Linked DNA regions of Macaca fascicularis. The protein of the gene in region 2 interacts with the protein of the main gene of each other region in a pairwise test. Links are inferred from orthologs where the notes say so. Each region holds a gene or a part of one and is shown on either strand. Other genes may lie near its edges.

The links.
Region 1: the proteins of CCNK (region 2) and CDK18 interact in binary tests that used the Homo sapiens proteins (3 or more experiments, as listed by UniProt). The two-hybrid records come from large-scale screens. The link is inferred for Macaca fascicularis from reciprocal best matches to the Homo sapiens genes CCNK and CDK18.

What each region holds. Positions count from the first base shown.
Region 1 is NC_088375.1:63,365,327-63,368,975, reverse strand, and holds part of CDK18 (cyclin-dependent kinase 18), read right to left. Parts: intron 3,582-3,649; coding exon 3,456-3,581; intron 2,674-3,455; coding exon 2,617-2,673; intron 1,774-2,616; coding exon 1,659-1,773; intron 1,472-1,658; coding exon 1,377-1,471; intron 1,074-1,376; coding exon 1,011-1,073; intron 57-1,010; coding exon 1-56. UniProt on the Homo sapiens protein: May play a role in signal transduction cascades in terminally differentiated cells.
Region 2 is NC_088381.1:167,557,208-167,561,380, reverse strand, and holds the start of CCNK (cyclin-K), read right to left. Parts: upstream 2,870-4,173; 5' UTR 2,664-2,869; intron 1-2,663. UniProt on the Homo sapiens protein: Regulatory subunit of cyclin-dependent kinases that mediates activation of target kinases.

The DNA.
Region 1 (3,649 bases), on a different chromosome or scaffold from region 2:
AGGATCTTGCGGTGGTGACAGTAGGCGAGGCCCCGGAGCAGCTGGAACATGAAAATCTGGGAGAGGGGGAAGAGAAATGTGAGGTGGAAGGTGGTCCTAAGCCTCTGCTCCAAGGCTGGGACCGGGATGGGGGCAGGGGTTTGGCAGTGAGGTCAGCACAAGCCCCTCATTCTCCTGCCCACCCTGCAGCCCCCATCCTGGGCCCAACCCACACCAGGGAGTCCCATCCAGAGGGGAGGACACCAGGGATGCAGAAGAGGCAGTGAGTGTGGGGGAGGCCAGAGAAGTCTCAGTCAGGAGCACGGGGGTCAGGATGCCTGCCTATGTGGAGACATATGTGCTTGATTTTTTTTTTTTTTTTTCCTTTTTGAGACAGCGTTTTACTCTGTCACCCAGGCTGGAATGCAGTGGCGTGATCATGGCTCACTGCGGCCTCAACCTCCCGGGTTCAAGTGGTCCTCCTGCCTCAGCCTCTCAAGCAGCTGGGACTATGGGTGCACACTACTGTGCCAGGCTAATTTTTCAATTTTTAGTAGAGATGAGGTCTTGCCATGTTGCCCAGGCTGGTCTCAAACTCCTGGGTTCAAGCCATCTTCCTGCCCTGGCCTCCCAGTGCTGGGATTGCAGGCATGGGCCAACACACCCAGCCTTGATTCTTTAACAAACACCAGAAGAGGTCATTCATAACCCCCAGTTTCCCCAGAAGCCTCCCTGCATTCTGGCAGGTAGCTCACACTCCCATTTGACAGATGGGGAAACTGATGTTCAGAGTTGGGAGTGGATTTTATACCAACAGCTAGACAGTGGCAGAGAGTGTGTGTCTGTTCCTGGGGTAAAGTGCTCAACCCAGTTCCTAGACTTGTTGATGGCACTGCCCTCTCTCTCTTTCCCAGGTGAGAAGGTCTGAGCCACCCCAGCAGCCGGATCCCTGGAGGTGAGAGTGGGTCCCCGCACTGGGCTTCTGAACAGGTGGCTGCCAAGATGGGGGGACCCTGCCCCTGAGGCCTCACCTTGACGTTGTGCATGCTCATGAGGTTCCCACAGTGATCCAGATACTGCTTCAGGTCACTGTCCTGGAACACAGAGCGTGACTCAGTCCTGCCCCATGGCCAGAAGCCCGGACACAGGCTGAGGAGAGGAAGCCCCTCCCTGGGAAGGGCCCACGCCCACTAGTGGGACAGGTCCCTGGCTTGAGCCACCCCTAAGCCTGAGCTCTTGGCCCACTCCTGCACGGGAACATCTGAGAACCTGATTCCAGAACAAGGCCTGGTTCGCCCTCATCCCACCTCTCCCACTTCCTCAGCTTCCCACTCCCCTACCCACACCCTGTTTCTACCACAAGAGGGAGAGGCTGCCAGCCCCAGCCCGACTCTCACCAGGTACTCAAACACCAGGGTGAGGGACCGATCTGTGTGGATGAGGTCATGCAGGGTCACAATATTGGCGTGCTTCAGGTTCTTCAGCAGAGACACTGCGGGGAGACGGGCCTGCCTGGGTCCCCAGGATGCCATGTGTCCCCATACCCTCTTTTCTTGGGGTCAGCTCCAGGAGTCCCACTCCAGCAATGACCCTCCACCCCCAGCTCCTACCAGGGCGCAGGCTGGTGAACCCCTCCTCCTGAAGCCCCAGGGGGAGTGTGGGAGCCTAGGACGCTGTACCCTCTCGGATGGCAGTGCAGGGCGCTCCCTCCTCATGCTCCAGCCGGATCTCTTTCAGGGCCACGAGGTTCTCCGTCAGTTTGCTGCGCCCTTTGAAGACTGTGGCATAGGTGCCCTGGGATGGAGGGCCGCAGCGGTCCCAGGCACATTCAGGTGCTGCTGGCCTCTGCCCAGTGTCTCCCCATTTGTGCCTCTGCCTGGGCTATGACTGGGGCCTGAGTGCCCTTCCTCCCTTCACTGACATGCTGTTTCCTCCAAAGCCTACTTCCTCCAGGAAGCATCCCTAATGACCCCCAGTTGGAGTGAATCCGTCTTCCTCTAAGCCCCAGCACGCCGTGTGCCCCTCTATGATAACACCAGGTTTTTTCTTCCCTATATGATGCTGATGTTTACACAGAGGTCACCTCTTTGGGCTCCTGGAGGGAAAGGGCTGTGTGTTGCCCTCTCTGTAAACCTTCACCCACCCCAGGCCTCTGCACAGTGACGACAGAAATACTTAAGTGATACAGCACTTCCTATGTGCCAGGCATTGTCTGCGTGCTGTACATAACCTGCCCAATCCTCGCAATAACCTTATGTGATAGGACAGTTACTATCTCATTGGACAGAGGAAGAAACTGAGGCACACAGAGAGGTCATGTAACTCACCAAAGGTCACAGAGCTAGTAAATGGCGGAGGTAGGTTTTGAACCCAGGCAAGAAGGACTTGAAGAAAAAAAAAAAAAAAGACTGGATTCTGCCCAGGGCCATGGCTACTCTATCCTCACGCCCTCCTTCAGGATCTGAGCCCACTTCAACCCCTGCCAAAGGCTGGGCCAGAGTGCACGGCCAAGACTGTGCACCTCTATGGGGCAGGGGCCATGAGAGGGCCAACCAGAGAGGGCCGACCAGGGAGGTCTGCCCCTCCTCCAAGCCATCCTGCCTGGCTATTTGGAGAAGACCATACCCAGCCTCTTACCTCTCCCAGTTTGTCCAGTTTCACGTATGTTTCCAGTTTCCCAAAGCCAATGTCTGACTGAGAGGGAGAGACACAGAATGCCATGAGCTTGAAGCCCTTAGCTCCACAGACATGACAACTCCCCCAACTCCAGCCTCTGGGAGGGAAGGGATGAGACCCCATGGTGGAAGGGGCTCGTTTTCCCTTTATCCCTGTGATAAAGGACAGAGCTCATGGAAGTGTGAGTTTCTTCCTCTCAGGACAGCCGAGAGTGTGGAGCCCAGGGCTGTGGCACCTGGGATTGTTGCACATCTTGGCTACCTGTGTCTCCGACTGAGACCACAAGCTCCTCCAGAGTGAACGCTGCCTTTTTTCCCATTTTACCTTGAGTGTCCAGTTCAGAACCCACCTACCTGACGGTGTGTCTCATCAGCACACTTCTAGCTCAGGTGTATCCAACCCTTAACAAGACGGATTCCCGGACCCCCTAGCCGGAGAGGCTGATTCTATAGGCGTCTGGAGGGGTCTTAGAGTCTGTGTTTTGTAAGATGTCCCAAACAGCTCTGATAGGCAGCTAGGACTGGAAGGCACATGCCAGCTGGCCTATTGATCTTAACCATGTGGAGAGATCGTGGGACCTGGTGTGGGCTTAGAGTCCCATTCTAGCCCAAGTGGGACCCATCTAGGAAATGGATGATGTAGGAGGACGATCTAGTTGAATGCACTCAAGCCAGCAGGTGGCGCCAGAGGCCCAGGAATCTTCCTGGAAACACCATATAGGCCTCAGCTGGGACTGATATGCCTGTGCTGGGAAGGGCATATCACCCCACCTTGTGTCCTCTGACCCTCTTGGGACTCACCAGGGAGGCCCGGCGGGACATGCGGCTGGGCGGCTTGGGCAGATCTGGGCTCTCCATCTGTAGCTTCTGTAGGAATTCCTGGGGCAGGCGGATATCCATGGGCAGAGAGAGCCTCTTGCTGACGTCCTGTGGTGACAGGGATGAGATGGGGACACCACTGTTGGCTTCAGGGTAGCTAGGGCTGTGGGGCCCCA
Region 2 (4,173 bases):
CAAGCTAGTTTTCTTATCCTCACAATTTATCACTGAGAAAATGGAGCCAGAGACACGAAGCAACCTGACTAATTCACAGCTAGCAAGCAGCAGCCACAATCTGTCTTACTTTATACCAAGATACTGCCTTCCCTCAATCTAGACACTGCTTTTCTTCTGTAAGTGGAACATTACATCCTAGAACCACTTTTCTCAAGCCAGGAAAACTGAGTTTTTGTAAATGTAATCACACCAACTAAATTTATTTATTTAAAAAAAATTTTTGAGACGATCTCACCTAGTAAATTTATATCTGGTTGGTTCTGGCCTATTATTATATTCCAGCCTTTAAGAACTCTTTGATTTCTGAGTGTCATCTAATGTGTGGCTGATTATCACTACATGGTTTGAGTGCATTTATTAACTTGAGAATCATGCTGTTTATATATTTAAAGTTGGTAATAAAAAAGTGTTAATCAGAGCAAGGGCAACACCAGAGTCTTGTAGCATATCTCCAAAGACAACTCCTCAGGTTTACATCAACCCATTAATCAACATTTTGGGGTTGGTAATTTGCATGGATATCAATCCATCTAACCACACCTTATCCAATGCATATTTAACTCTTGTATCTAGACACAGTATTAGAATCTTGTTGGAAGACTGTGTCCTAAATAAACTTAAATGAACTTACGTCCAGCAATCCCCAATCACCACCAGTCTAGTAACAAAAGGAAATGATTTGTGTCACCTGGCTTTTTCTTGAAACAGGGTCTTGCTCTGTCGCCCAGGCTGGAGTGCAGTCACGTGATCACGACTCACTGCAGCCTTGATCTCTAACTCAAGTGATCCTCCTGCCTCAGTCTCCCTAGCTACCACAGGCATGCACCTCCACATCTGGCTAATTTTTTTATTTTTTTTTAGTGATGAGGTCTCACTATGTTGCCCAGGATGGTCTTGAACTCCTGAGTTTCAGTGATCCTCCAGCTTTGGCCTCCCAGAGTACTGGTATTATAAGCGTGAGCCACCACCTCTGGCCTCACCTGGCCTTTTCTTATTGAAGCTCTGTTCAGGGAATCAGCTCTCCTTTCCCAAGTACTCATAAACTTGTTGGCTCTTCCAACCAGATTCTAAAAGTTTATTAATAGGTTCCTAGCAGCCAAGAGCCATCGAATGGTTCTGTGTGAAAACTGAGACATTTACCAGACTCTAGTCTTCTATCATTAACTGCACTTTTAGGATTTTTCAAAATTTATGAATAATGATTTTATAAAGTCATCTGCAAATACTCTGGTATACAATTTACCTGAGCTTAAAAATATGATCACTCTGTAATCTCCTCAATTACCTTGAATTTAATTCCTCTAGATTTTTTTGTCCTCATCCAGTTTTAAAGAAAACAAGCAGAAAACACTGTCCTCCCTTTTAGACACTCAGCAGAGTCACTGCTTTCAAATATAACGTCCTAAAATGAACTAGCCCATTTTATAGGCCACGGCTATGACCAATTTTTCTTTATGACATTCAATTTTAGAAAGAGCATTTAACATTTAAGAACCTCATTAACAACTCGAATAGTTTTTATTGCTTGTTGGTGCAACCTACATTTTCAAAATGGAACAAATTTAAACAGGATTTGCCTAGAAATCGACTAATATGCTGGAATACTGCATCACAGTATAATCGAAATGAGATACAAGAGGGGGAAAAAACCCTAAAAGACAGCAGTGGTAGTCGCTCTGAATAAAACAATCTCGGATAATTACTATATTCATAGTCAAGATTATTTAACAGGTAAGCATCCTAAGGGCATAACTTTAATCCAGATGTCTATCAATACTATTACCATTACCACCATCTATCCATTCTTTCATTCAGCAATACGGAGGGCTTATTAAACGTCAGGCAGTGTTCCAGGCGCTGAAAGCTCCTCGCTTTCATTCTAGCAACATCATTCATACAAACTTTTAGTGGGCACCTACAATTGCAAGGCATTGTGCTAGATATCTGTAAACAGCGATTTACATCGAGATACACAAACATCACCAAGTTTCCCTTAAAAACATAGAACACCACCCTTAAGAAATGGTTAGAAGTTCCTAACCTCAGATGACTTAGCGAAAGCTCCGTTTAACTGGCAATCTAAATTTAGCGAGCACTAACGAGCCTATCTTGGGCAGACAATAGTTTAGGAGCTGTCAGATAACCTCTAGATTTACGCTCCAATTTTCTAAAGAACAATTTCTCTCATAACAAACCAAAGCAACCACCAGGAGCGCGTCCGTAAAGACGATGTCTCGGCAACAACTAAATCTAACCGCGGAAGTGCCTTTTCCTCATTCTTAGTCGCACCCTCGTTACGTGGCTCTTCAAAACTCCAAAGTCGGAGTACCCTAGACACGGAACAACCTCCAAAAAGTCTCAGGCCTAGCCAAGGTTGGGACTAATACGCCGCGAAATAATCGGGGAGATATGAGCAGTCTGTGGCTGTGAGACTGCGCGGTTAACACCCCTGCCCCTTTTGTCCAACCCCTAGAAAGTCCCCGAACTCTGACTGCTCCCCAGTGCGAGGGCCGCTACCAGTTCTAGACTGAGCCCGGCCTCCCTGCCCCGCCCCGGCGCCTCAGACCCTCTCTACACGCCCGCCCCACAGCCCCGCGCCGCCCGCTAAGTTCAATGTGTACCGGAGGTTAGCGGAGGGAGGCAGAATCCGGAAAGAGAGACTACGCCAGTGGATGGCGGCGGTTGACCATAACCTACTCCGACCTCCAGATACGCGGGAGGTGGGCGGTGCTGCCCGCAGTCGGTGGGTCACTCACCTCTCGCTTCAGGCAAGCCCCTTAGCGACGTCTCTCCTTGCGTACTGCGGCCATCTTGCATGTGGAATGTCGGGGAACTACGTCATCACGCTGCGTCTTGAGACGAAAACCAAGCGACCGGAGGGGCGGAGAGAGTAGGATGCCTGTCAACCAATGGGAAGAAAGCAGAGCTCTCAAAAGAGGAACAAGCCGCCGCTCTCCTCCCCGCCCGCCCGCCCGCCCCGCGGGACAGTGGCTGCTGCGTGCAGGGGGAGGAGCCAGTCACAGGGCCCATCCCGTCGGTCCCGCCCCTTGGAGCAAAAAGGCATTCTGGAGCAACCGAACCTGCTAACGGAACTTGGGCGCGTAGGCGGGGCCCGGGTCGAGATTCGTCCAATCAGAGCTCTGGCGGGGGCGAACGCAGCCAATTGCGACTTCGGGGTTGGCGGCCGCTGAGCCGGCCGCTCTCGTCCCCGGGAGCCGCCAGCCCACTGGCTGGGGAGGACCCCGGACGGAACGCCGGCTGGGCGGTGGGGCGGGGCCGCGCCCATGCGTCCGAGGTGTGGACCAATGAGCAGCGGCGGCGGCGGCCCGGGGGCGGGGTCCGGGGCGGGCGGAGCAGGGTTGGGCCGCGGCAGCGGGGCCGTCTCAGGCTGCCGTCCCGCCCCTCCCGTCCGGCCGCCGCCGCCGCCGCCGCCACCGCCGCCACCGCCTGGGGGTTGGTTGAGGCGGACGGCGGGGTCCGGGCCGGAGTGCGTCGTTCCCGCTGCGCTAAGGGAAGCGGGCAGGTGAGTGCTGGCGGCGGTCTCTGCGCGCGCGCGGCCCGCGGGCTGCGGGGAAAACTCGCGCTGCGTCTCCGAGCTCTACGAGGCCGTCCCTCGCCCTGGCCAGCGCCCCTCGGCCGAAGTCCGGCCCGCGCCCCCGCCAGGGTCTCCGCCTGCCGCTCTGGGCCCAGGGCTTGAAGGGGGCAGGTGTGCGCTCGGGTGCCTGGGCGGGGAGGGCCCGGCGGGGTCGGAGGGCTCCGGTCGGCCTCTGCCCGGGCGCCCTGCGGGGCGGGAGGCGCGCTCTCGCCGCTGCCCGGTCCCCTCTGCCGCCCACGCTCCCGGGCCCCGCGCCACCCGGTCTCGAGGTGGTGGCAGGTGCAGGCAGCGCTCTCCCCGCGCTTGGTCTCCTGTCCCCGGCCCTCGCTCCTGCTCTCGGGTGGGGCCCTGGTCCCTCGGGCTGGTCGGCTCGGCTCTGCGCGCGGCCGGGTCGAGCTCTCATTTCCTTCCTTCCTCCCGTCTCCCCGCTGCTCGGGGAAGGCCGTGCGGTTTTATGTTCCTCTCTGCGAGTTCTCGGTGCCCACCGGGGTGCCCGGGGACCAGCCCCCGCCTCCTCCCGCTCGGTCCAGTTAGGA